7 separate regions of the Mus musculus genome follow, and regions 1, 2, 4, 5, 6 and 7 are each reported to be linked to region 3. The links are microRNA targets in miRTarBase. Many come from high-throughput screens and were not tested one by one. Region 3 holds a microRNA gene; each other region holds the end of a gene's coding sequence.
The links. The annotated mature microRNA mmu-miR-129-2-3p reads AAGCCCUUACCCCAAAAAGCAU and lies in region 3 at 2,180-2,201, shown strand. An mRNA with a match to its seed (bases 2 to 7 or 8) in the 3' UTR can be bound and repressed. Matches are read on the target gene's strand: a 7mer-m8 pairs with bases 2 to 8, a 7mer-A1 pairs with bases 2 to 7 and ends in A, and an 8mer does both.

Region 1 (3,127 bases), not on the chromosome of region 3:
GCATGAGTAGGGAGTCAGAGCCATGAAAGCTGCTCTGGCCTCCTGCCCCAGAGGCTTCTGGAACCACACACCACACCACGGTGGCTTCCTGCACTGTCATCATGGGAGAGGCTGCCATGTCCACATACACCAGGACCATGTGAAGGCTCCACTGGGTCAGGGTGGGCCCCGAGGCCTACTTTCATGCTTGGGTGACCCAAAGGTGACATTTCCTCTTGGTGCCTGTTTCCTCCCAAGCAAGCAGAGAAACCATTCCTATGGGGCTCTTCACCACCAGTGAGGCTGGTCTGTTGGAGTAAGGACTGACCTGATGGAGCTCAGCGCCCTCACCGGTCTTGGCTTTGCCATAACTGCTATAGACTGACCCAGGGCAAGGTGGCCAGGGCTGGCCCTGGAACTCTTAGTGACTCCACAGGGGTAACCATGGCAAACAGGCAGCTTTCCTGGCTCCTCACTCTGTCCTCCCCTCATCACCTAGCCATGTGTGTCCTCTGTCCCTAGTTCAGCTTTCACCTAACTCAGCTGCTCCTAAATTTAAAGACACCAACTTCAGCTTCTTCTAGAAGAAACTGAGGTACAGTTTCAGTATTGGTTTCAGTCTGGGGAATCCTGGGGATGGGTCATTTTCATCCCCTTGGGGGAGCCCTACAAGTGCCACCTCTAGGGACAAGGGCCAGGGAGAATGAACCTGTTACCTATAGTCAGACATCTTGGGTGTGGCCTGGGGCTTTTCTGATAAGAGGGCAGAACCCAGTGCCTCTGGCCACTGGGAAGAGGTTGGGCCTTATCTCATCTTGCCCTGCAGCCAGAATCTTCTGGGTCCTCTGGTCCCTCCTGAGCTATGGGGTCTTGGCCAAGTCACCTAGCTTCCCTTTTCCTGAGCCTTAGTTTCCCAATGTGGGAAGAGTTCACAGGATGAGTCTCGGCTCCTTTTCCCCCAGAGCCAAAACCTCTGCCTTTCCTCCAAGGTTGTCTTTTTTTCTTTTACTTTTGTTTTGTTTTTTTGGAGACAGGGTTTCTCTGTGTAGCCCTGGCTATCCTGGAACTCACTCTGTAGACCAGGCTGGTCTCGATCAGAATCCACCTGCCTCTGCTTCCCAAGTGCTGGGATTAATGGCGTGTATCACCACTGTCTGGCTTGGTTGTCTTTTTTACTTTTTGCCTTTTTTTTTTTTTTTAAAGACAGGGTCTCTCCCTGTGGTTCAGCAGGCTGTCCAGGAACTCACGATGGGACCCAGGCTCATTCCTGCCTCAGCCTCAGAGTGCTGGAATTTCAGATATGAGCTACCAAGCCCGGATTTCTCTATTGTTAATGATCACTGGCCCAGTTTGAAGGTCCGTATTAATTATGCCCCTCATATATCCTTAGGAGGCCTCCTTATTCTGCAGCTCCATCAGGAACTGGACAACCATGACAGTGACTGCTGCACCCACAATCCTTCTGGAGCTATAGTGGTTAGCCCAACCCCAGAAGCCATGAGTAGGCTGCCGGAAGAGCCAAACAGCATAGTAGGGGCCTTGCATTTTAAAATGGCAGAAGGCAGCAAGCTGAATAGAGGGCCTTCAAAAGAAAACTCCATGTCTGAATCCTGGGGCCTGTGTGTCTCCATTTAGAAAAAGGGTCTTCAGAGATGTAATAAAGGCTCTTTCAATATGGTCATCCTAAATTTAGGGTGGGTCTTGTATTCAGGGCAGGTGTCCTTGCAAGAGACAGGTGGGGGAAGAGAAAGCCACATGAAGACAGGACACAGAGTCTAGGAGATCTGGGGCCCCTGAAGCCAGAAGAAAGTGGGGCCCAAACACCCTGACCTCTGCCGCTGGCTTCCAGAACGGTGGGAGAACAGGTTACTCTGTTTCCTCCATCACATTCCCAGCAGTAAGTCATGTCTGGGGGGATCGAGCAAGGAAGGTGGGGCAACAGAAAGGGTAGAGGGACCCAGACCTAAGGGGTATGAAGGGTCAGACAGGTGTGTGTGTGACATCTAACCCACCCAACTGAAAAATACCACAGAAGGACAGGAGGAAATATGTGCCACCCGAAACAAGGTTCAGGGACATTTCAGGATAGGGCAGCGGGGCTGCGACTGAGACAGGTCAGAATCGAGCCAGCTAGGATCCGTCTGTGCCTAGGGAGGAAATGGGGTAATGCCACAGGCTGAGGAGTAAGGGGATCTATACAGGCGTGATCCCCTGGGGACCTCAGAGGGAGAATGAGGAGAGAGAACGGGAACATCAATTGCACTCTGCTGCCTCCATGGGAGCTACATTGACCTGAGGCAAGGCTCAAGGTGGCCTGTGTTCACCGAAGGAAGGAGGCGCTCCAATGATGGGCAGGTGACCTTGTCTATGTCATGATCAGACTTGAGCCCTGGTTCCATCTTTTGCCTTTGCCAGAGCAGTGGAGAGTCAGGTGTCTGAGACCTTGAAAGTCCAATGAGGGGCTGAGGGCTCTGAGTCAGAGACTGGATGGGCTCTGAAGGCTTCTGCTGAGTGCTCCCTGGGGAAATGCCCAGAACCTGTCAGTAAGGGGTGACCACATGTCACAGCTACATCAAGGTCCTCGTGGTTTCTGCTAGGCCAGAGCATCCCGGGCCAGGAGGTGTGAGGAGAAGGCTCTATTGGAGGCCACATGGTCACAAACAAGTCCAGGCCTTAGCAGCTGGCTATTTCTTGGAAGATGCTGCCTGGCACTTGGAAGTACAGTGAGCATTGCAGACCTGACCACGCACCTCCTGCAGCTCCTCCCGCAGCTCCTCCAGGGCACTCAAGGAGGGCATCGCTTGTGCCTGAGCCTGCAGCGCCTCTAAGGCCAGTGCCAGGCGGCCCACCTCATCCTGCAGAGCGTTCCAGGCTGCCCGCTGTTCCTCCTCCTTATTGCGCTGCTGAGTCTGGTGGCGCCAGTACTCCAGGACCAGGCAGCCTCCGCCCACAATGAAGATGGTGGCCTCGCCCAGCAGCTCAGCACCCAGCTCTGCTGCTGCCTCCTCATTCAGTGGCTTGATGGTAGTGCCCCGGAAACCCATTATGCGCATCTTCGTCCGCATCTCCACCCAGTGGTACACTGCAGGGGAGAAAGAGGTCAGGTGTGTTCCGAAGCTCCACCCCCAATACTTTCTTGTTCCAGTTG
Region 2 (3,140 bases), not on the chromosome of region 3:
AGAGACTTCAGCTCTGCAGGCAACAGGTAAGAGACCTCCCAAGAACGGCAGGCTCTAGACTAAAACCTGGGGGCCAGCCTGTTTCCAAACCACCACGGGGCCTTGTGGCACAAAGGCAGGTGCCCGTGAGAGCAGCTGGTTGAAGAGCCCCGTCCCACAAGCACAGCCTTCTGGACCCTGCCTGGCCATCCTGTGCCCCACCAGCCTGTGTGCTCCTCTTGGCTTTCCAGTCAGTGGCAACTACAGGGTACAGCCCCAATCCTACTGTTAGTATTCCTGGCTTCTCTCTTCGGTGCATCAGCAGTTCCCGCAGGCCCACCTTCAGAGTGTGTCCAGGAGGTGACAGTTGTCACATTCCCACAGCCAACAAGTACAAAGTATCCTTCTAGGGAGTATCAACCAGTCACATTCAGATTCGGATACCGATGCATGCTCTCTTGAGTTCTTACTCAGTGGAAGGCAGTCCCCATGGTGGCTCCCAACCTGCTCTTCTGCTATCTGACACTAAGCGCTCCAGCCACACCACTTCCTAACCACATGCTGGCCAGTGTTCCAGGCCAGCCTTCCTGGGGGGCTGCCCCTCCACTTAGACCCTCTCTAGCCCACTGCTGCCTCTAGGGCATGTCTCTTCTCTTCACCCACCTATTCTGCTTGCCTCGGGGCCTCTCCTCCATCAGCTGGAAGTTTGTCATCCACTGTGGGACAGCCATTGACCAATGAGAAAGCCCAGCTCCCCTGCTCTAGTCTGCTTTTGGGGCTCTTCCAGAGATATTCCTCCTCCACCTTTCCCTAAGGTCAGCTGGATCTGAGGGATGCAGGCTCTGGGACCTGTCTTAGCTACTTAGGCTGAGCCCCTGCCTCACCTTATTCGTCTCTGCAAGCATGACCTATTCCAAGAGACACGGCACTGATACTCCAGGCCTTCCTTCTGCCTAGAAACTGCCCAGAAACAGGAGAAACACCCTGGGTTTTCCATCTTCCTTGCCGCAGGCCTCATGTTCCCTTCTCCCCCAAGGCCTCTGCAGTCAGGAACTTGACATGCATCCCAGAGCTTTTTTGTTATTTTTTTGTAGACAGGGTTTCTCTGTGTAGCCCTGGCTGACCTGGAATTCACTCTGTAGACCAGGCCTGGCCTCAATCTCTGACATTCACTTGCCTCTGCCTCCCGAGTGCTGGGATTAACCACCCACCAGGCAGGTTTTTAATATTCTGGATTGTTTGTTTTTATCTATCTTTCTTTCTTTCTCTCTCTCTCTCTTCTCTCTGTTTGTGTGTAAAACCTCATACCATGACAAGAGTATGTGTGGAGGTCAGAGGACAACTTTCTCAAGTCGGTCCAAAACTAAACACAGATTGTCACGCTAAGTAGTAGACTGACTCCTTTCACCTGCTGCTGAGCCTCGTCTCTGGGCCCCGGCTCATGTTTTATACTGTGCTGCATACAACCTAAACAAACCTAAGGGTTTTGTGAGAGGTTGCCTCACAACTACCTCCCTCTAGTGGCACACGCTGCTCCTCACTCTGCTCACACTGGGCTCAGGATGCTGATTGTATGGGATGCTGATTGTATGGGATGGTGTTCCACAGTGACCCTGTCCAGAGGCGGGGGTGGGGGGTGGGGTTCACTTTTCACAGATGCTGTCACTCAGCCTCCCTGCCTGTCCACAGGTGTGCAGACAGTCCTTTCAGGACAGTCACCTCAGCCTGTGGTTCCCCATAAGTCTTCAAGTATCTGTCCCCAGAGATCTGGCAGTAAGAATAGGGGCCCTGGAACCTCAGGAGGCAGTCGACTGTGGTAAGAACGCAGGAGATAGAGGGAGTCACCCATGCCCTGCCTCATGGGTCAGTATCAGAGGCAGTGATAGTCACTTAGATTCAGAGGACAGATGTCTGTCCACATGCCACACTGACCGTTTGGCCACAGTCAGGCTCCCCCCACAGGCCCACAGGTAGCCCTTCCTTCCATCAGGCTCTTGACTCAAAGGCAAAAATCATACCAAGACAGCAGGGTGGGTCTGTGCTTGGAGCTCAATCGTGGCTCAGACACAGAGCAGCCACAGAACCCCTGAATTTTTAATGCCAGCACTCTGAGAGGGGCCTCTGAAGAACTACTGCATCCAGGCCTGGGGTTCTCAGACACCAAGTCATGAGGCCGTGACAGGCACAGGAACTTTGCCCCTTTGCAGAGCAGGCTGAGCGGGACCACAAGCTCACAGAGCTTCTAGGAAGGGCTGATCACCATGGGGCAGCCCGAGCGGCAGTGATCACTAACCCATGAGGCCTGGCTGGCCCTGAGCACTCTGGGCAGTTCAGTAGGAGTGTGTTATAGTTATGGGGTAGGAGGGGAAAAAACCAACCACAGCTCTAGCCCAGGGGTTAACAGGTGTCTTGAAGGGAGGGGTAGCCTGGAGAATTAGGACTGGGCTCTTCTCCACTGAGAAGCTAGAGGCTCTTGACCTCCAAGGGCACATGACTCAGGCCACCTCTGTGATAGGGAATGGCGGATGCCCCACTGTAGGTCCAGGTAAAGAAGGTTTGAACAAGAATCCTGCTGGGGACCAGGACGACCAGGGACAGCTTCAGTACCCCCGGGGGACAGCTTGGCCCTTGTTCTCCAGGCTTGCAAAGGGGTCTGCAGCAGCGTCTGATGATGAGTCAATTGTCTGGTAGGCACTGTGCTCCTGAGAGGGTCCGAAGAAATCTAGAGGACAGGGACATGTGCATAGAGAAAATGAGACCCTGGGGTTTTTGCTAAGCACAGATGGATCCACCGTCTGCCATGGCTAGAGTTCAACACCATGATGCTAAGGACAATGTGCAGTAGCAGAAGCCCAGACACCAAGCCTTTGGCAGGCAGCATCCACTCAATCCTAGCATCTGATGGGTGGATCTGCAGATGAGAGACATCTGAGGGTCAGAGAGACAGGCTGATTTGATATCATTTGGCTTGAGGCATAGGACACTGGGTTCCAGCCTAGACATCAGGTCCTATGGTCAGTGGCTCCTGGCTGCTGTGCCAAATCTGCCCCAGAAGCACTGATGAGGGATCTGAAGAGGGGTGGCTAGTCCTCAGCCCACGCACTTTTCTCCTGCTCTCCTCAGTCACCATTTCTAGAAGCCGCAGAGCCTGGCATAGCTGT
Region 3 (3,140 bases):
CCGGCTCCCCAACGAGTCCTCAACAAGTTGGAGGGAGGCAGGAGCGCACGGGTTAAACTCGGGAAGCTGCAATTATCAAGATCGTGACCCTCCCACACAGTACAGTAACTTATATACTTACCTGGAAGAGCCCGCTTTGCCGCTGGGCAAACACCCATGGGGGTTGGGGAGGGGCAGGAGGGGAGCGGGCTGGCCAGAGAGGGCTGCTTCCAGACCGCTGCAGAGCACACCGAACCAATGCACTCCCAAGACCCCCGGACTCAGGTAAGGAGAAAGAATTTGCAGCGCTGGCCGCCTGGTGGTCGGTAGGCTCAACGGTCGGCCGAGCAGAACTTTTTTCCCCAATTGCCCTGCGCTAGAGGCAAGCGCAGACTGTGTAGCCCCCTCTGGCGCGGCGTTGAGACGCGGGGAGGGTGTGTGCTTGCGTCTTTCCGTAACCGAGCCAAGCGGAGGGGATGCAGTAGGAGGGTGGGTGGGTCACAGAGCTGTAGGAGGGTGATGAATGGGCGGAGTGGGTGGGCCGACAGGAACTTGGGAGACTAAGGCTCCAGGTCCAGAAATGCATTCTGTGGGTATGATAAGCCAAGGGTGTGTGTGTGTGTGTGTGTGTGTGTGTGTGTACGCGCGCGCGCGTACCTGCCTGCAGGTCCATTCTGGGATGGCAAAAAAAAAAAAAAAAAAAAAAAAAAAAAGTGAAAAAGCCAAAACAAAACCCAACTTTTGCCCCCAAGTTCTTGTGATGCTTGTAGTAACCACCCTGACTTAAGTTTTTTTTTTTTTTCACCCCCTACTGGAAGGGAGATAGGCGTTTGTTTAATCACACCCTTTGGCATCCCTGGGGCTAGGCAAGAGGGCACTGGGACTTGGGTGGGCCTGCACATAAAGAAGAGGGCATCCCCCTTAAGTTAGGCTAGATGGAATGGGGGAGGGACTTAAAGGGCAGGGAGGAGGGGGGAGAGGAGAGACTTTGCCCCCTCCTTCCTCTCTAGCTCTCTATTCCCCTCCCTCCTGCAGATGCTGGAATCTCCTGTCACTGTGACAGTCAATGCCCAGCTCACCCTTTCTTGTTCCCTCAATATTTTGCAGAAGGGGGGGGCAACAAGGAAGGGCACCTGAGGCAAATGGGCCATTAGACACCATGATCTGGACAGGTTGGGGGCTCTGGGGGAGGGAGAAACTTCACCCTTCTTAGTGAACATTCAGAACTTTGGGGGGGCAGAGTGGGGTAGGGGGACTCGAAAAGGTCTAATTTTCTAGAAATAGGCCAACTAGAGTGGGATTTGAGCTTGTTTTATGTTCATCTTTGCCAGTCATTTTCCGTCTGGTTCTTCTGGCTTAGGTCCCGATGGAAGAGGTCGCTCTCTTGAATCCCTCTTTCCCAATATACACTGCCACCCCCTCACCTGGGCTAGAATGGGAGGGAGTCATGGACAGCTTTTGGAACAACAATATTTTAATGTGTTCTAGTCTAGGTTTTGTTGAATAATTAGAAATGGAAATATTTTTCTCCCTCCCCCTTCTGGAAAAAAAAAAAAAAAAGAAATGTGAGCTCTCTTCTGATTGGTGGGTGACGATTTTAGTCCACACCAATGAGCTGGCGGCCTTGTCTGTATTTATTTAGTGCTCTGGGGGAGTTTTTCTCTTTACGCAGCGCCTGTAGTCACGGCTGGAACCTCTGCTGGGGGACTAGGGAGGATAGGAGGGGATTCGGGGGAAATCTGGATCGTACCTGCTCAGAGATCCACGACCTTGCAGTCAGGGCTGTCAGAACCCTGATGGGGGAATTGGGTGATAGACTAGATAGGATCGGAGGCTTGGAGTGCTAGGGCGAGAGGGGTGGAGGCAGGGCTCTGGGATCCGGGGTCCCCCTTCGAGCTACCCTTATCGCTCTCCACTACCTCTTCGAGGTTGTGCAAGGCTGAGTCGGGGGATCTGGAGATAGAGAGAGGGATGGGTTTGGGGACGCGAGGAGGGGAGAGCGGCGCGCAGGGTGGGGAGGATGAGCCGCGGTGGAGCGCGCCGGGGAGATCCAGTCTCCTCGGCTTCGGGGTTCGGAGACATGCTGGGCTAAAGGCGGCGGCGACGGCGGCGGCGGTGGCGGCGGACCGAAGAAGCGGGTAGACTGCCTTTCGCGAATCTTTTTGCGGTCTGGGCTTGCTGTACATAACTCAATAGCCGGAAGCCCTTACCCCAAAAAGCATTCGCGGAGGGCGCGCTCGGCGACGTGACTGCAGCTACCAGCGACCGCCGAAGCCAGCACCTTCCCGAAGCGGCTCCATCCGAGACTTCCCCAGTTTTTCTCCCCGTTTTCCACGGAAGAATCAGCTCTTTCCTCCCCGTCCTTTCCGCGCTCCGCGAGGCTTTGATCACTCGCTTTCCCGAGACATGTCCCCCGCCCCCAACTTTTTAGTCGACTTTGTACCACAGGGGGAATTGGAGCGGGTGGCGTGCGTGTGTTTTCGAAGAAGTGAGAAGAAGCTAAAATGTAATAAAAGTTTACAGAAGTTGTGTCGTTCCCCCACACCCCACACCCCAAATATCCCCACTCACAATAAGGGGGGGGGGCATGGCCATAGGGCCAAGTCAGTACCTAGAATATGAATCAGTTTAGGAAATTTTACGGTCATTTTTTTTTTGACCCTAAGGATTGGAATCTAATATGGGGGAGGGGAAGCCCTTGAGGGAGGGGCGGTAGGCCCTAACCATCCTCGGTTAGGATGAGCGGAATCTAGAGGAGGTGAGATGAATCTCCGTGAATCCGGTAGCTCCGAAAAAGAGGGAAAAACACCCAGGCACCGCCCGCTCCCCGGAGCCTTCTTCCTGAACCTGCTTCCAACCTAATTTCAGGCGTGTTGCAGGCTCCAGTACCCACCCATCTCCTCTTTTTCAAAACTAAGTAGCGCAGGAGAGGATGAAACAGGCGGAAACTAGGGAAAACCCCGCGGGGAAGGAGCTTCTGCGAGCTGCAGTTGTTTAGCAGTGGCAGAGGCAGCAGCCCCATGCTGGCCACTCGAGGCTCCTAGACCTGGGAAGGGAGGCAAGCTGCAAAGGGGAGAGCCCGTGGGTCCCCCTCCTCCCCCTCCACTCCTTGCAGTCGTGACCACTTCGGTTACAAGTGGCACAAATCAGGCCTTCAACAC
Region 4 (3,140 bases), not on the chromosome of region 3:
TAACACCCCCCACCCCAGTACCTCTATTTACCTATTTAGAATATCCAAGAACTAGACAAACTGTGACACTGTAAGACATGAGCTACTGGCTAGGTATAGTCCCTGGCAGGATGACCTGTGAACAGGGCCAGCTGTGAGAAGAGACACAGATCTCTGAAAAAGGAGATTCATTTGGCTTCAGCCCCAGGGGCTACAGAAAACACCCCAAAATCATCACCTATTCCAGGTCTGCCAAGACCTTCTGAAGACATCCACATACTAGACCACAAAAGACTCAACAGACCTGAGCCCAAGTCAGGCTAGATGCCAGAGTTCCAAACCTGCCCTGCCACATGCCAGGACTCTAACACAACCTGGCTCTCTGTCTCTGTTCCTGGGTACCAGCAAATTGGAAGGTGTATTTTGACACAGACATCCAATTCTACAACGTGCAAGCTGTCTATCATTCCACATTGAGATCTCTGTACCACAGGCTCCATGGTGACACCATCACCAACCTTGCTGAACCCTGTTAGCTCTGCTCTCTTAAGAGGAACCTGCATCTGAAGACAGCCTCCCCACCTGTTCTCACAGGGACCTCCAGGAAACAAAAAAGGCAAGCCCCCTGTCTCACATCTGTGACTACAGCCAGCCTTTTTCAGCAGTGACAGTCACCTTTTGCTTTGTTTTGTTTTTCGGTTTTTCAAGACAGGGTTTCTCTGTAGCCCTGGCTGTCCTGGAACTCACTTTGTAGACCAGGCTGACCTTGAACTCAGAAATCCGCCTGCCTCTGCCTCCCAAATCCTGGGATTAAAGGCATGCGCTACCACGCCCGGCTACACAGTCACCTTTCAATAAGATGGCCTGATACCTTAAAAAAAAAAAAAAAAAAAAAAAGTTAAAATCATTCTTTGTTGAAGGAGGTGGTGGAAGAAGAGGAGGGAGAGGAGGAAGAGGAGGCAGCAGTGGCTTTTGCTATAAGGACACAGGACAGATGTGCATTCTTTCTAAAGGCTACAGGATGATAGCACATGGGTCCTTGGTAGGTGGGGCTGAGCTCAGAGCTGGCTCACAGTGCTGCTGCTGTGCACTGCCGGCCTTACCATGTGGAAAACAGAGCCTACCTCATGAGCTTGGTGCCAGCGCTAACATAATGTGTGCAGTGCCCAGCTCCAGCCTAGCCTGATCACAGGGCCAACTTGCACCTCACCCCACCAGAAACCTGCTTACCAGCTCTCAGCCTCCTGCAGCGCTGGCCTTTCTGTCTTTCCCAGAGGATTAGCTAAAACCTTTCCATTCTGAAGCCTGCATTATTTATAGTTAAGTTCTGGTCCCAACCTCAATCCAAGACCGTGGGTCTGGTCACAAGATAAAGCCCACCCCTCCTGTTGATAAGGCACAGCTTTCCACTGGGCCTGGCTGGCTCACGAATTGCCACAGGAGGTGTGCAAAGCCCACCTACAGCCCACCCTGGGCAACATGAAAGACCTGAACAGCACTAGGAGACCTGACAAAACCATAAGCATGGGGCCTTTTATTGACAATTCTCCACAGCGTTCCTGTCTACTGCTCTACAGTATAAATACGCAGAGGTGAGCATCTCTCACCAGGACAAAGGAGTACACCTCACCTGCTTGGTCCCCACTGCCAAACCCTCAGTGCTCTACTGCTGTGTGTGTGTGGCCTATCAGCAAGGAGGACCTCAAATGGTTCAGGTGTGGGCACCACACCCATGACTGGGCAGCAGAAACAGTTCCTGAAGATCAGCTCCAAGGGCAGTCCATGACTGCAGAAGGGTCTCAGGCAGAAGCCCCTTGTCTTCTTCATCCTACCCTGTGCTGCGTGCTCTCAGGAACCATGAAATAAATAAATAAATACTCTGAAAAAGCTCCAGGGGAAGGGGCCTGAGCCAGCTCATGGCTTAAGAAGAGGCACAGCACCCTTGGCAGGTCAGAGGGAACATAAAACTGGCCATGTGACTGACCCTATCCTACAATGCTATCTCTACTCCAGGAACAGCCCTGAAATCCGGGCAGTCCTACACGTCCCTGGACCTCAAAGGCTTGCAGTCTCTCTGCTCCACTCACCTGGCCGCATGTTCCATGAGATAAGGGCTAGAGATATGTGGCAGTGGGAGAAAGGTGGGGTGCCCTAGACTCAGAGCAGGATGGAAGAGTGATGTGAGGGTCCTGTAGCCACCCCAGCAGGGCTGAGGACACCAGAGAACCATGGGAGTTAAGATTCTGTAAGCAGAGCTTCCCCATCCTGCCATCCACTTGACACTGAAGGACTTGAGCAGCACCCTCACCTTCCCTCTCCTTGGGACACCTGGGAACGCCAGTCCTGAGGCTATTCAAAAGGCAAAGGCAGGCCATGGAGCTCTAAGTCCCCTCGCAGGCTCTCTGGGGCTGAGAGACTGACAAGTACCCAACAGGGAAGAACCTCTTTTCCAACCTCAAGTCTCTTGGATCCTAAGGTCTAGCCAGCCTGACCTTGACGACCAGAGCCCAGATGAGAGCAGGCTGTGCTCAATTCTGCCCTCTGGTGGACACTCCCTCGCTAGCCCTGAGTTAACAGGGTATAGGATAGAGCAGAACCAAGAGCCGGGACCCCAGGGGCTCCTCTCCCCCTGGGCCTTAGAGCATCACCAGCCCAGCTGGAGGCAGCAGGGGAAGGGCAGGAAGGACCTAGCTGTCAGGCTACGTTTGCCCAGCACAGGCCTCAGAGGCCCAGAGTTGGGACAGTAGGGTCACTGCTGGCCCCAGGACAGTTGGAGCCTGGCTTCTCTTCTCATTTGCTCAGGGTCTGATTGCAGGAGGCGCACACACACACAGTCTCTCTCTGGGCTTCAGGAGCTGGAAAGAAAGAAAAACTCAGTGAGACAGTTCTTTGTACCCTTTAGGCTCAAGGTGCCAAGTACTGAATTAGCCTCCCCAGTCCTGAGACAGACCACCCACGGCCCGGCCCACACCCTCCCTGACCCAGCTCCCTCCCTCAGACACGCTGGGGCACTGTGGCTCTGACGCCAACAGCAGGCCTCTCCCAGGTGTTCTATGCATTGGAAATTCTTCTGGCATCAACAAAATAAAATACCAGAGGAAATTTTCCCTAAACGTTTTAACAGTGGTTAAAAAATCTCTGGGTGGTAAGATTACAGGATC
Region 5 (3,140 bases), not on the chromosome of region 3:
TCTGCTGCACTCCAGTGAAGGTCAGTCAGCTTGGTGCGACCACTCCATGTCATGCCAGCCACTGAGGTGCAAAATGGTTTTAGGATGTTGGAAATATGAGGCTGTAGTCTGGAGGCAAAGGCAGGATTCCGGAGCTTGAAACTAACTTGTGCTACTCAGTAAGTTCCTGTCTCAGGAAAAAAACTGTAGTAAGGAGCATGCTGAGTGTGTCTCTACCAACATGTGGCTTTCTTCTTATCCCTGCTCCACTGCCAGGGTATTAGATGCCATTTAGAGGGGATGCTCATGCGGACCATATGCAAACACAGCAGCTTATGGGACATAAGGAACTTGAGCATCTGTGGATGCACAGGGGCTCCAGGAAGGAGGCCTGCACAGAGTGGGACGGGCACGGCTGGGGTTTGCTCATGGCTAGCATGCTACTCAGGCTTACCCTGGGAGGGGGAGGTGGGACGGGCACAGCTGGGGTTTGCTCATGGCTAGCATGCTACTCAGGCTTACCCTGGGAGGGGGAGAGGGAGGGGGAGGTGGCCAGATGCGCTTGCAGGTGCCTTACTTTACCTCCCTGCTCTGTAGCCGAGCTCTTAGGACTGCATTGGATTATCACACCAGTGCAGTTCTGGGACTCCACTTCCCCGGCCAGGGCGGATGTGAGCACAGAGGCTGCAGCTTGGCAGCTAGGAAGCAGCCTCTGGATGGGAAAGCCTTGAGTGAGCCAAGTTCAGGGACTGTCAGGATCAAATCTCCCAGTGACTCTGAAAAGCTACCTTAATGTGTGGAGCCACGTTCAGACATGCTGGGACCCTAGCTCTCAGGTTGGAGTGGAGAAAAAACACAGAAACCATCTCAGGCCACCTTCCCTTCTCCAAATCAGCCTGGTGGTTTGACATGTGCCCTTGTAGGCTTTTCTGTCCAAATACTTGCGCTCAGAACAGAGGCCTATTTCACCTGAGGGGTAGAAATGGCTCCGCTCGGTTCCCTTTCTTCTCCAGCTGGCTCTCAACTCCCTTGCTCTCTCTGCAGTCTGCACGAGCTAGTAAGACATGGAGAGAATGGTCTGGTCTTCAAGGATGCTGAGGAGCTGGCAGCTCAGCTGCAGGTACTGGGTCTACTCCGTCCGTGTGGGGCTGGGTGGTTTGAAGCCTGGCATTGCCAGCTGCACGATCCCTGCTTCCCACACAGGGACAGCTGTGGTAGAACTCTGGGGTGTAGAGGAAGGGAGCAGAGGGCTCAAAGGTAGCTTCTCAGCCTGGGCTGTCAGCCAGTCATTCACCTTGCCAGGGGAAAACATACATACCCCTGCCTGCCACGTGTCCAAAGATGGAAGCTGTGCTGCCCTTTAAGGAGGGTGGGGGCCAAGGGAGCACCCGCTGAGGGGTCTATCCTTATAAAACTAACGTCCTCTCATTTCTGTCCTTAAGTCTGGGTAAGAACTGCAGTAGCATCTGGCATGGATGGGAACACTAGCTGTGCACATGCGCACATAATCTGAGTTCCAATAAAACTTTATTTACAAAGGCAGGTGGGCAGGACCCAACCCGTCCCTGATAGACACACTAAAGGCTTCCATCTTAACTGCATCTGCAGGGGTGTGTTGAGGATGGGAGGGGAAACTGAGAGAATAGCAGGTGGAGGCTAGCCATTCTCTAGGGCAGGGCTGTGGGTGAGTAGATGAATCCATCAAGTGTCGAGTGAGCGGAGGGGCACCACTGGACACGAGCAAGGAGGCCGGGGCCTGGTGCAGGGAGCTGAGTTCCAGTTTTCCTGTTTCCCTAGATGCTTTTCTCAAAGTTCCCAGACCCTGCTGGAAAGCTAAGCCAGTTCCGGAAGAAACTGCAGGAGTCGGGGCAGCAACGCTGGGATGAGAGCTGGCAGCACACTGTGCTCCCTCTGCTCGCTCACTCACAGATGACCCCCAGGCCCCATCCACCCTGTGGCCACCCTTCCTGCCGGGGCTTTTGAGTGCCCCCTAGTGGTCATAAGCCTGAGGACAGCAGTGGGCGACAGCTAGGATCTGGCTACTGATCTGGCAGCTCTCTTCTGTTCTGAGCACTTCTGTTACTTCCAGTGTCCCTGCCAACTTCTCAGTCCCTGGGTTTTTGTTTCTGGACTTGTCACATCCCTTGCGTTCTGGTTCTGCTGTGAGCTCTGGGATAGCCTGTGTTCACTGGGTTTGGCTGAGCAAGGCTGAACTGTCTGACAGGACAGTCATACTTAATAAATGTATATATTTATTTGTACAATGGAAGTGTTTGCTCTGAGCCTGTGTCCACTCGAGATGAGCTGCTGAGGACAGGCACCAGCACTCAGCCTGTGCTTACTGTACACTTGTGCTGTTATTTAACATTCCTGCTCAACAGAAGCCTTTCCGCTTTCCGCTTTCCCATGACAGTCATTTTTCTTTTCTCTTCTTTCCTTTTCTTTCCTTTTTTTTTTTGGTTTTTTGAGACAGGTTTTCTCTGTGTAGCCCTGGCTGTCCTGGAACTCACTTTGTAGACCAGGCTGGCCTTGAACTCAGAAATCCACCTGCCTCTGCGCGAGTGCTGGGACTAAAGGCGTGCGCCACCATACCCGGCTAGTCATCTCATTTTTCAAATCACCTTCAAACACCATGGCGACTGGTCAGCACCAGCTTCAGGATTACGATGGCTGAATGCTCTTCGTAAGGGAACAGTTTGCCAGTGTGAGGGGGCACCTCTTCCCAGTAGATTCCAGCACGGTCTAGATAAGAGTACAGAGATCTCAGGAGGGCAGTTGACACAGGTGTGCTGTGTGTTCAAGCTGATTTGCTTGGCCACAGGTTTCCAGGCCCGGGTAGATGCTCTATGGGAGTGTGTATCTGTGGGCACGCTTGGTCTAAAGGTAGAGGCAGAGGTTCTGCTCCCATGTTCCCCTTTATTCCCTAAGCCCCAGCAATCCTGTCTCTGCCCCTGACGACACTAGAATTACAGGTACTTACAGCCACAACCCAGCGTTTTAAATGGTGGTTCAAACTTGGGTCTTCTTGTTCGTATGGTAAGTAAGCACTTTTGCTTACTGATCTCTCTGTGGCCACCTCTCCTGTTGGGTTCCTTGCCTCTCTGCACCTGCCTACCCTGTCAGTTGGCACAAGCAGAGATCAGCTATGATCTAACTCAGCT
Region 6 (3,140 bases), not on the chromosome of region 3:
AGAGATTCAGCTCACATTTACTTGTCTACCGAGGTCCAACTTGGTGAACCAGCGGGTGACTTACAGAATCAGAAATGACTCAGACAGCTGCATCACTAAGGCTCACCTTAGCACAGATGACCCCTTACAAAGCTGGGAACACTGCACAGCCTGCAGGCAGCCCAGAGGCTGGCGGGGTCCTTTCCAGGAACCTCTGCTCTATACCTCTTCCAGGCAGCTCAGCTGGTTTCTGCTTCTTTCAGGAGGCTGGTCTGGTCTCAGTCTTTGCAGCTCAGCTTGTCTGAGACTCCTTGGCTCCTATACTTTATTCTGGCAGGGAGGGGCCTAGTGGATCTGGTCAGTTTCAGGACTTCCTGAAGCTACTTTGAGTTATTTACCTTGCTTTGAGAAGGCTAGGCTAACTCCATGACAGGCTTCAAATAGGCAGTTCAGGAGACTGGGCCTCAATCTGTTTTTAAGAACTAGGCATATCCAGGCCTCAGAAGCTGCACTACCACCTGGCCTGAGGCAAGGACGATGGGGCAGCAACAGTTTCCAGACTTCCAGTGGCAAGCCCCTAGGCCCCAACAATGGTTCTGAACGATTCCTAGAGATGGAGCAAGATTAAGGTCACCTACTCTGGAATTCCCGTAATGTGCTTTAAATTGGTCCTGTGAGCTCAGTTCAGGATCTCTCTCTCTCTTTGTAGATGGTAGACCCTAGTATACAAGTCCTCTGCAGGATAAAACTCTTTTTTGTTTGCAGACTATTTGAATCCAGGGTAACCTCAGTAATCATGGACACTTACACTTGGGGTCCGTAGAAGTGTGAGCTGGCTGGAAGGATCAGGTCTGACTCATTCCTTTCGCTTCAGCAGTGTGTGGCCAGTGGCCAGTGTGAGGAGAGGAGAGGAAAGGAAAGGAGGAGAGGGAGGAGAAATGCACTATTGGTTCTCAATTATACTTTCCCCCTTATTTATTTATTTATTTATTTATTTATTTATTTATTTATTTATTTATTATATGTAAGTACACTGTAGCTGTCTTCAGACACTCCAAAAGAGAGAGCATCAGATTTCGTTACGGATGGTTATGAGCCAACATGTGATTGCTGGGATTTGAACTCAGGACCTTCGGAAGAGCAGTTGGCGCTCTTAACCACTGAGCCATCTCATCAGCCCCCTCAATTATACTTTAATGGCTGTTGTCTCTCTCCAGGCATCTTCTTCACTCCAGAAAGCACACTGGGAGGCCAGGGAGCGACACCGTGGGAGGAATTACCTTGAGTCCAGGCCATGAGTCAGTCACCCCAGTGGATACTGTATGAGTCTCACAGCCCATCTTGATAGAGACGCCACTATGCCACATCTGCTGACGACTGTCAACTGTCCACTCATCGAGCGCCTTGTTGCCCGTTAGCCAGGGACAAGATTTTTACATGCACTCAGTTTTAGAATATTTATTTGATTTATTTACATAATTAGTAAAAAATGTGTTCTTAAAAATATTTATTACATTTGCTTTAAGAAATAACAGAAAATAAAACTGGCTAGAGTCATGTCTCACACTGTCTGAAAGGCATATCCATCTTTTTAGAGGAGGGTTTTCTGCACTGCCATGATGGAAACCCCTAAGCAGCTGCTGGCTGAGGGTCAGCGCTGCAGATGGAAGTAGGAGCCCTTCTTCTTTTTTTTTTTTTGGTTTTTTGAGACAGGGTTTCTCTGTCCTGAAACTCACTCTGTAGACCAGGATGGCCTTGAACTCAGAAATCCGCCTGCCTCTGCCTCCCGGGGGCTGGAATTAAAGGCGTGGCCACCACGCCCGGCTGCAGGAGCCATTCTAAGTTTCCCAGATTTCCTTCATGGTCACTATTTACCTTTTGTTTGTTTGTTTTTTTGCGTTCGAGACAGGGTTTCTCTGTGTAGCCCTGGCTGTCCTGGAACTCACACTATTTACTTCTGAGTCCAGTGAAAAGGTTCTGAGAGTAAGAGGCACCCAGAGTAAAATCAGACTGTACCCAAGAAAAGCTACAGGCTCCTATCAAGGAAAAGAGTGCCCTGAAAGATGCTGATAGACTAACCAGAAAAGCCACTGCAAGCTAAGATGTGTATAAATGCTCACCTGAAGCTAACACAGTCACTCAACAAAAGCCACGCCGTGTTTATAAACCCGTGGATGTTTTGTTATTATTGAAACCAACACGGGAACTGCGTGTTAAGTGTGCAGTCTCTAGTTTCCAGTCTGCTGCATTTGCTCTGACACGGACCATGTGTAATCTCATCACAAACATCTAAGATTCTGGTTTGTACTTCAGGTGTGCAGCAAAACCTAAAACCGCAACTTTAAACCAAGTCCCCCTTCCCTGTGTTAAAGGCAGGAAGCTGATGCTGTACTAGAATCTAAGCACCTACAGGATATGCTGACCCAATTCGATCTCTGAGCTGAAATTAGGATCCTCAGGACTTGTATATGTGTACAAATATTGCAAAGTATTTAAGCTGATTAAAAACTTTACAAAATACAAATCATCCTTTACTACAAAAGTTTTAAACTCCAAACATGAGTCAGCACTTAAAAAAAGACCAGAATAGGAGGTCAGAAGCAGGTCTGCATCCCCTCTCTGAGCGATGCACTGTTCATCGCAGCCAGCTCGTATTTAGCTGGGTCTGGTTCTTGATGCTGGTGTCCATTTTGAGCACTTCTCGAATGGCCATGGTGGCGTAAGTAGAAGGAGGAAGAGAAAAGTCCATCTTCAGAGCCCTGTATTTGCCTTCTGCCGGGCAAGAAAGAAGAGTGACCAAAAGACTGACCAAAGATCACGGGGCTTCCCCAAAAGCTACGCCCCTTTCCTTACGATTCCACTCCCCAAGGGTGCTCGCAGGATGAGACCACAACATGAGAGCACAGGAGTGTATGGACCAGCGGGGTATGGTAGCTGTACTCAGGAACCTGATGACCAGGGCAGGAAGGGCTGGCAAAGGCGCCCGTCAAGTAGAAGCAGCTGCACTAAGTCTGGACTTAAATGTCCCCAGGAGCAAAAGGGTAAAGAGAACTGACCCCTCTGAATCATCCTCTGATCTCCCGTGTGTGCAGTGCGCACGCGCCGACCCATAGAAAACACTCCCATAGCACTGACTTACCAGAAGCAAACACTGGTGGTGG
Region 7 (3,140 bases), not on the chromosome of region 3:
AATTATTCTCCTCCTCACTTTGGGGGATAGCCAAGACTGTAAATGTTTGAGAAAGTACAACCACGACTTTATTTTGATAACCCAGCATCCTCTGGACTCCTCCCACTGGAATCCACACTCCACTCTGAAAGGTAGGTCTGCAAATGGACAGCAAGAGCAAGATCTACAAGATCTGGCCCCTGTCACTTGTCAATGCTGTGCAAGTGTAATTAGTGGCCCAGCGCAACCCACGTGGAAATAACATCACCACAAGGCATCGTGCTTTATTGTGTTTAATGCCACGATCCAGCCCACCATTAAAAAAAATAGATCATACAAGCAGGTTAAAAGCAAAATGTGGTATTTCTGCATGATGTCAACACTAACAACAGATTGTGCCATAATCTACATTGCCTTCATGATCATCATGAGGCTTTTTTCATACTTATAGTTATGTTTTATTAACACACAAAGAAATAAACACATTTTTCCTATTTTTTTACTAAGAAAACAGTATAATTTTCATAATAAACTCTGTGGCCAATGCATGAAATGACACAACACTCTTCACAGATGACATGGTCACACAAGAGTTAAAGATAATGCCAATGTGACAGCTATTTCTTGAGTGCTTCTTTATGCCCATAACTGTTCTAGGGGACTTACGTGGATTCACACAATAAGGAGATCTAACAACATCTGATAACACAAACTATCTACAAATGATATAAAGAATATTATTTAATGGGAAGTTTTAAAAATCTATGATTAGTCTTTTTATAAAGTGCATTATAACTCCTTAAGTATAACAAGGGGGGGTTCAGAAATAAAATGGAAAAAAACTAGAAAATAAATATTATGCAAGTAAATTTATATTTTATCATCATATTACACTTTCCTCCTGAAAACAGAAATAAAAATTTCAAAACTGAAGAGCAAGAAAATAGTTTTATTTTCTAATACTCTTACATGTTAACATTACATTTTAAATGTATTTAGAGAATATCCATGTTATTGCCCTACACAATCACAGATAAATTCCCCAATACCTATTATAGGCCTGGTTCTCTCAAATATGTTGACTGCAATATTTCTCTATAAAACTACTGCTGTGCTTTCGTTTTCTGTGAACATGCCAGATGGAGTCATTGTGAGTCTTTTGGGCATAGTTTTATATCATCTGACCATACTTTCCAAGAAAGCTAATGACACCCATTTGTTTGAACAAGATTCTTTTCAAGATACTATTACGTAAATAGTAAACAGACTATTTACGTAATAGTCTCCCCTGAACCTGCTTCTTAGGTATTAACTGCCTTAGGGGCTCATAGTTAACTTGAGACATTATTTAAAAAAATTCCTGATACTCTAGGGGGGTTAAATTTAATGGCCACTCCTTTATATACTTCTTTTCAACCATTCCTGGAAACTGAGCTATCTTGCTTAGCTTTTTTTTTCCCCCTGGTTTTTTGAGACAGGGTTTCTCTGTATAGCCCTGGCTGTCCTGGAATTCACTTTGTAGACCAGGCTGGCCTTGAACTCAGAAATCGCCTTCCTCTGCCTCCCGAGTGCTGGGATTAAAGGTGTGCGCCACCATGCCCAGCTCTTGCTTAGCTTTAAGTATTTTACTAGACTGTGACTTTTTTAAAAAATAAAAAGGCCATTGATTAACAAATTGTTTGGTCCAACAGTTAATATAATATCTTAAGGGTTTTTGCTTTTAGAATTTCATATGTTTGAATTCCCTCTTCCATATTAGTTTAAATATTTACATATATACAAACACACACACACACACACACACACCCTTGACCAAACATGGAATTACCTACAAAACAGCTGACTTCAGTTTTAGTTTTTGTCATTGAAAATGTCTCTACAATGAGCTGAACCCTTCCTTCTCTCCTTCCTTCCTTCCTTCCTTCCTTCCTTCCTTCCTTCCTTCCTTCCTTCCTTCCTTCCTCCCTCCCTCCCTCCCTCCCTCCCTTCCTTCCTTCCTTCCTTCCTTCCTTCCTATAACTCCCGCTCATCTGCCATTCTCAGCCTTGGTCCTGAGAGGACGACCTTGGGTAGACCAACCTATTGTAAAACAGGTATAACTGTATTAGGGTGTGAGTGTTAAATAATGTTCACAAAGCACCTGGCACAACCAAGGGCCCCCATGAGTGATTCCCTTCATTAGGTTTAGGAAACTCCTCTACATGAGTATCCTAAGAGATGTGATGGCAACCACCATGTACTCTTCTCCAGAACAAAGAGGGATTTCTTCCAGTGTTTATTTGAGCAACATGCTACTCCTTATTCTTCTCACCATTAATTCCTGAATAACTAGTTCTTTTGAGAGAAGGCTCAACGGCCAATGCCCAATCCACACCCCAACCCCAAATATGATCAACTATTTTATCAACTGAGACCAAGGTCCATATTCCCATCTTTGTAAGAAGGCGTGTTTCTTTTCTCTGTTGTTAATTTAATCTCCCCCTTTCCCACGATTTGGCCCCCTGGCAAGACGCAGTATGGGAAAGGCGATGGGTGCGATACTTCCAGTTGTAAGCTGAGGTGAAGCCAGACATTTAGGATGTTTCTGAGAAGTCTCCTTCGGCCTGGTAGGATAATGGCTCCTCCCCGTCGAAGGCAGATTCTCTCTGTTGTCTCCACTCCGTCTTCTGGACCTCACAATTCTGGGTGGTGGCTCCATAAGACATCTTCTTTCTGGGACTTACGAAAGTCTCGTGGTTGAGTTCTGTCTCCTCAGCTAACTCATCTTGGTCAATGATTCCACATTTGTCCTCAGAGAGATTCTCTGGGTCAGCCCAGTCCTGTTTTTCCCCAGAAGCGAAGACCCCGTAGAAGATGACTCCGCTGTAGTGTACCAGCGCTGCTATGAGGAACACATTCTGCCACTCCTCCCGGGTCTAACAAAGGAAATGTAGTGGCAGTTAGCATGTTAAGGTAAAACAGAGGTTACCAGTGAGCCCCAAGCATTTGCCTCTCAGAGACCACATTACTCTTCCACATAGACCATAGACTTGTATTAGAATCAACATCCAGAGCCTATACTTCATTTGAGTGCTTGAAAATGAAAATGACAATGAGCATCATTTTTATCTTAAACTATTAAAATAAATATGTAAAAAGTACAGGTCGCATGGAATTGAGGG

Region 1: miRTarBase lists Opa3 as a target of mmu-miR-129-2-3p. Seed matches in the 3' UTR shown: 7mer-A1 at 1,026-1,032.
Region 2: the mRNA of Agtrap is a reported target of mmu-miR-129-2-3p. Seed matches in the 3' UTR shown: 8mer at 1,951-1,958 and 7mer-A1 at 1,090-1,096.
Region 4: miRTarBase lists Zfyve27 as a target of mmu-miR-129-2-3p. Seed matches in the 3' UTR shown: 7mer-A1 at 2,540-2,546 and 7mer-A1 at 702-708.
Region 5: miRTarBase lists Eef2kmt as a target of mmu-miR-129-2-3p. Seed matches in the 3' UTR shown: 7mer-A1 at 2,465-2,471.
Region 6: the mRNA of Pus7 is a reported target of mmu-miR-129-2-3p. Seed matches in the 3' UTR shown: 7mer-A1 at 1,901-1,907 and 7mer-m8 at 1,654-1,660.
Region 7: the mRNA of Slc17a8 is a reported target of mmu-miR-129-2-3p. Seed matches in the 3' UTR shown: 7mer-A1 at 1,470-1,476.

Annotation. Positions count from the first base shown.
Region 1 is chr7:19,244,688-19,247,814 of GRCm38, reverse strand. Opa3 (optic atrophy 3) reads right to left here. Exons shown (of 2, transcript NM_207525.3): 2 at 998-3,061. The coding sequence ends at 2,664. Among named protein-coding and RNA genes, the nearest start is that of Gm38499, 3.2 kb to the left of the region's middle.
Region 2 is chr4:148,077,904-148,081,043 of GRCm38, forward strand. Agtrap (angiotensin II, type I receptor-associated protein) reads right to left here. Exons shown (of 5, transcript NM_009642.5): 5 at 1-2,701. The coding sequence ends at 2,580. Among named protein-coding and RNA genes, the nearest start is that of Gm13201, 2.9 kb to the left of the region's middle.
Region 3 is chr2:94,240,437-94,243,576 of GRCm38, reverse strand. Mir129-2 (microRNA 129-2) reads left to right here and starts at 2,124; the gene lies at 2,124-2,213. It overlaps Mir670hg (a long non-coding RNA gene), which reads left to right. Exons shown (of 8, transcript XR_003953878.1): 3 at 1-264. It overlaps Mir129b (microRNA 129b), which reads right to left and starts at 2,199; the gene lies at 2,135-2,199.
Region 4 is chr19:42,190,077-42,193,216 of GRCm38, reverse strand. It overlaps Zfyve27 (zinc finger, FYVE domain containing 27), which reads right to left. Exons shown (of 13, transcript NM_177319.3): 13 at 1-2,834. The coding sequence ends at 2,770. Among named protein-coding and RNA genes, the nearest start is that of Sfrp5, 11 kb to the left of the region's middle.
Region 5 is chr16:5,242,665-5,245,804 of GRCm38, forward strand. Eef2kmt (eukaryotic elongation factor 2 lysine methyltransferase) reads right to left here. Exons shown (of 8, transcript NM_027446.2): 8 at 1,491-2,721. The coding sequence ends at 2,603. Alg1 (asparagine-linked glycosylation 1 (beta-1,4-mannosyltransferase)) reads left to right here. Exons shown (of 13, transcript NM_145362.2): 12 at 1,024-1,099; 13 at 1,777-2,243. The coding sequence ends at 1,962. Among named protein-coding and RNA genes, the nearest start is that of Alg1, 11 kb to the left of the region's middle.
Region 6 is chr5:23,739,226-23,742,365 of GRCm38, forward strand. Pus7 (pseudouridylate synthase 7) reads right to left here. Exons shown (of 16, transcript NM_178403.5): 15 at 3,119-3,140; 16 at 940-2,751. The coding sequence ends at 2,615. Among named protein-coding and RNA genes, the nearest start is that of AI506816, 28 kb to the left of the region's middle.
Region 7 is chr10:89,573,764-89,576,903 of GRCm38, forward strand. It overlaps Slc17a8 (solute carrier family 17 (sodium-dependent inorganic phosphate cotransporter), member 8), which reads right to left. Exons shown (of 12, transcript NM_182959.3): 12 at 257-2,894. The coding sequence ends at 2,553. Among named protein-coding and RNA genes, the nearest start is that of Slc17a8, 46 kb to the right of the region's middle.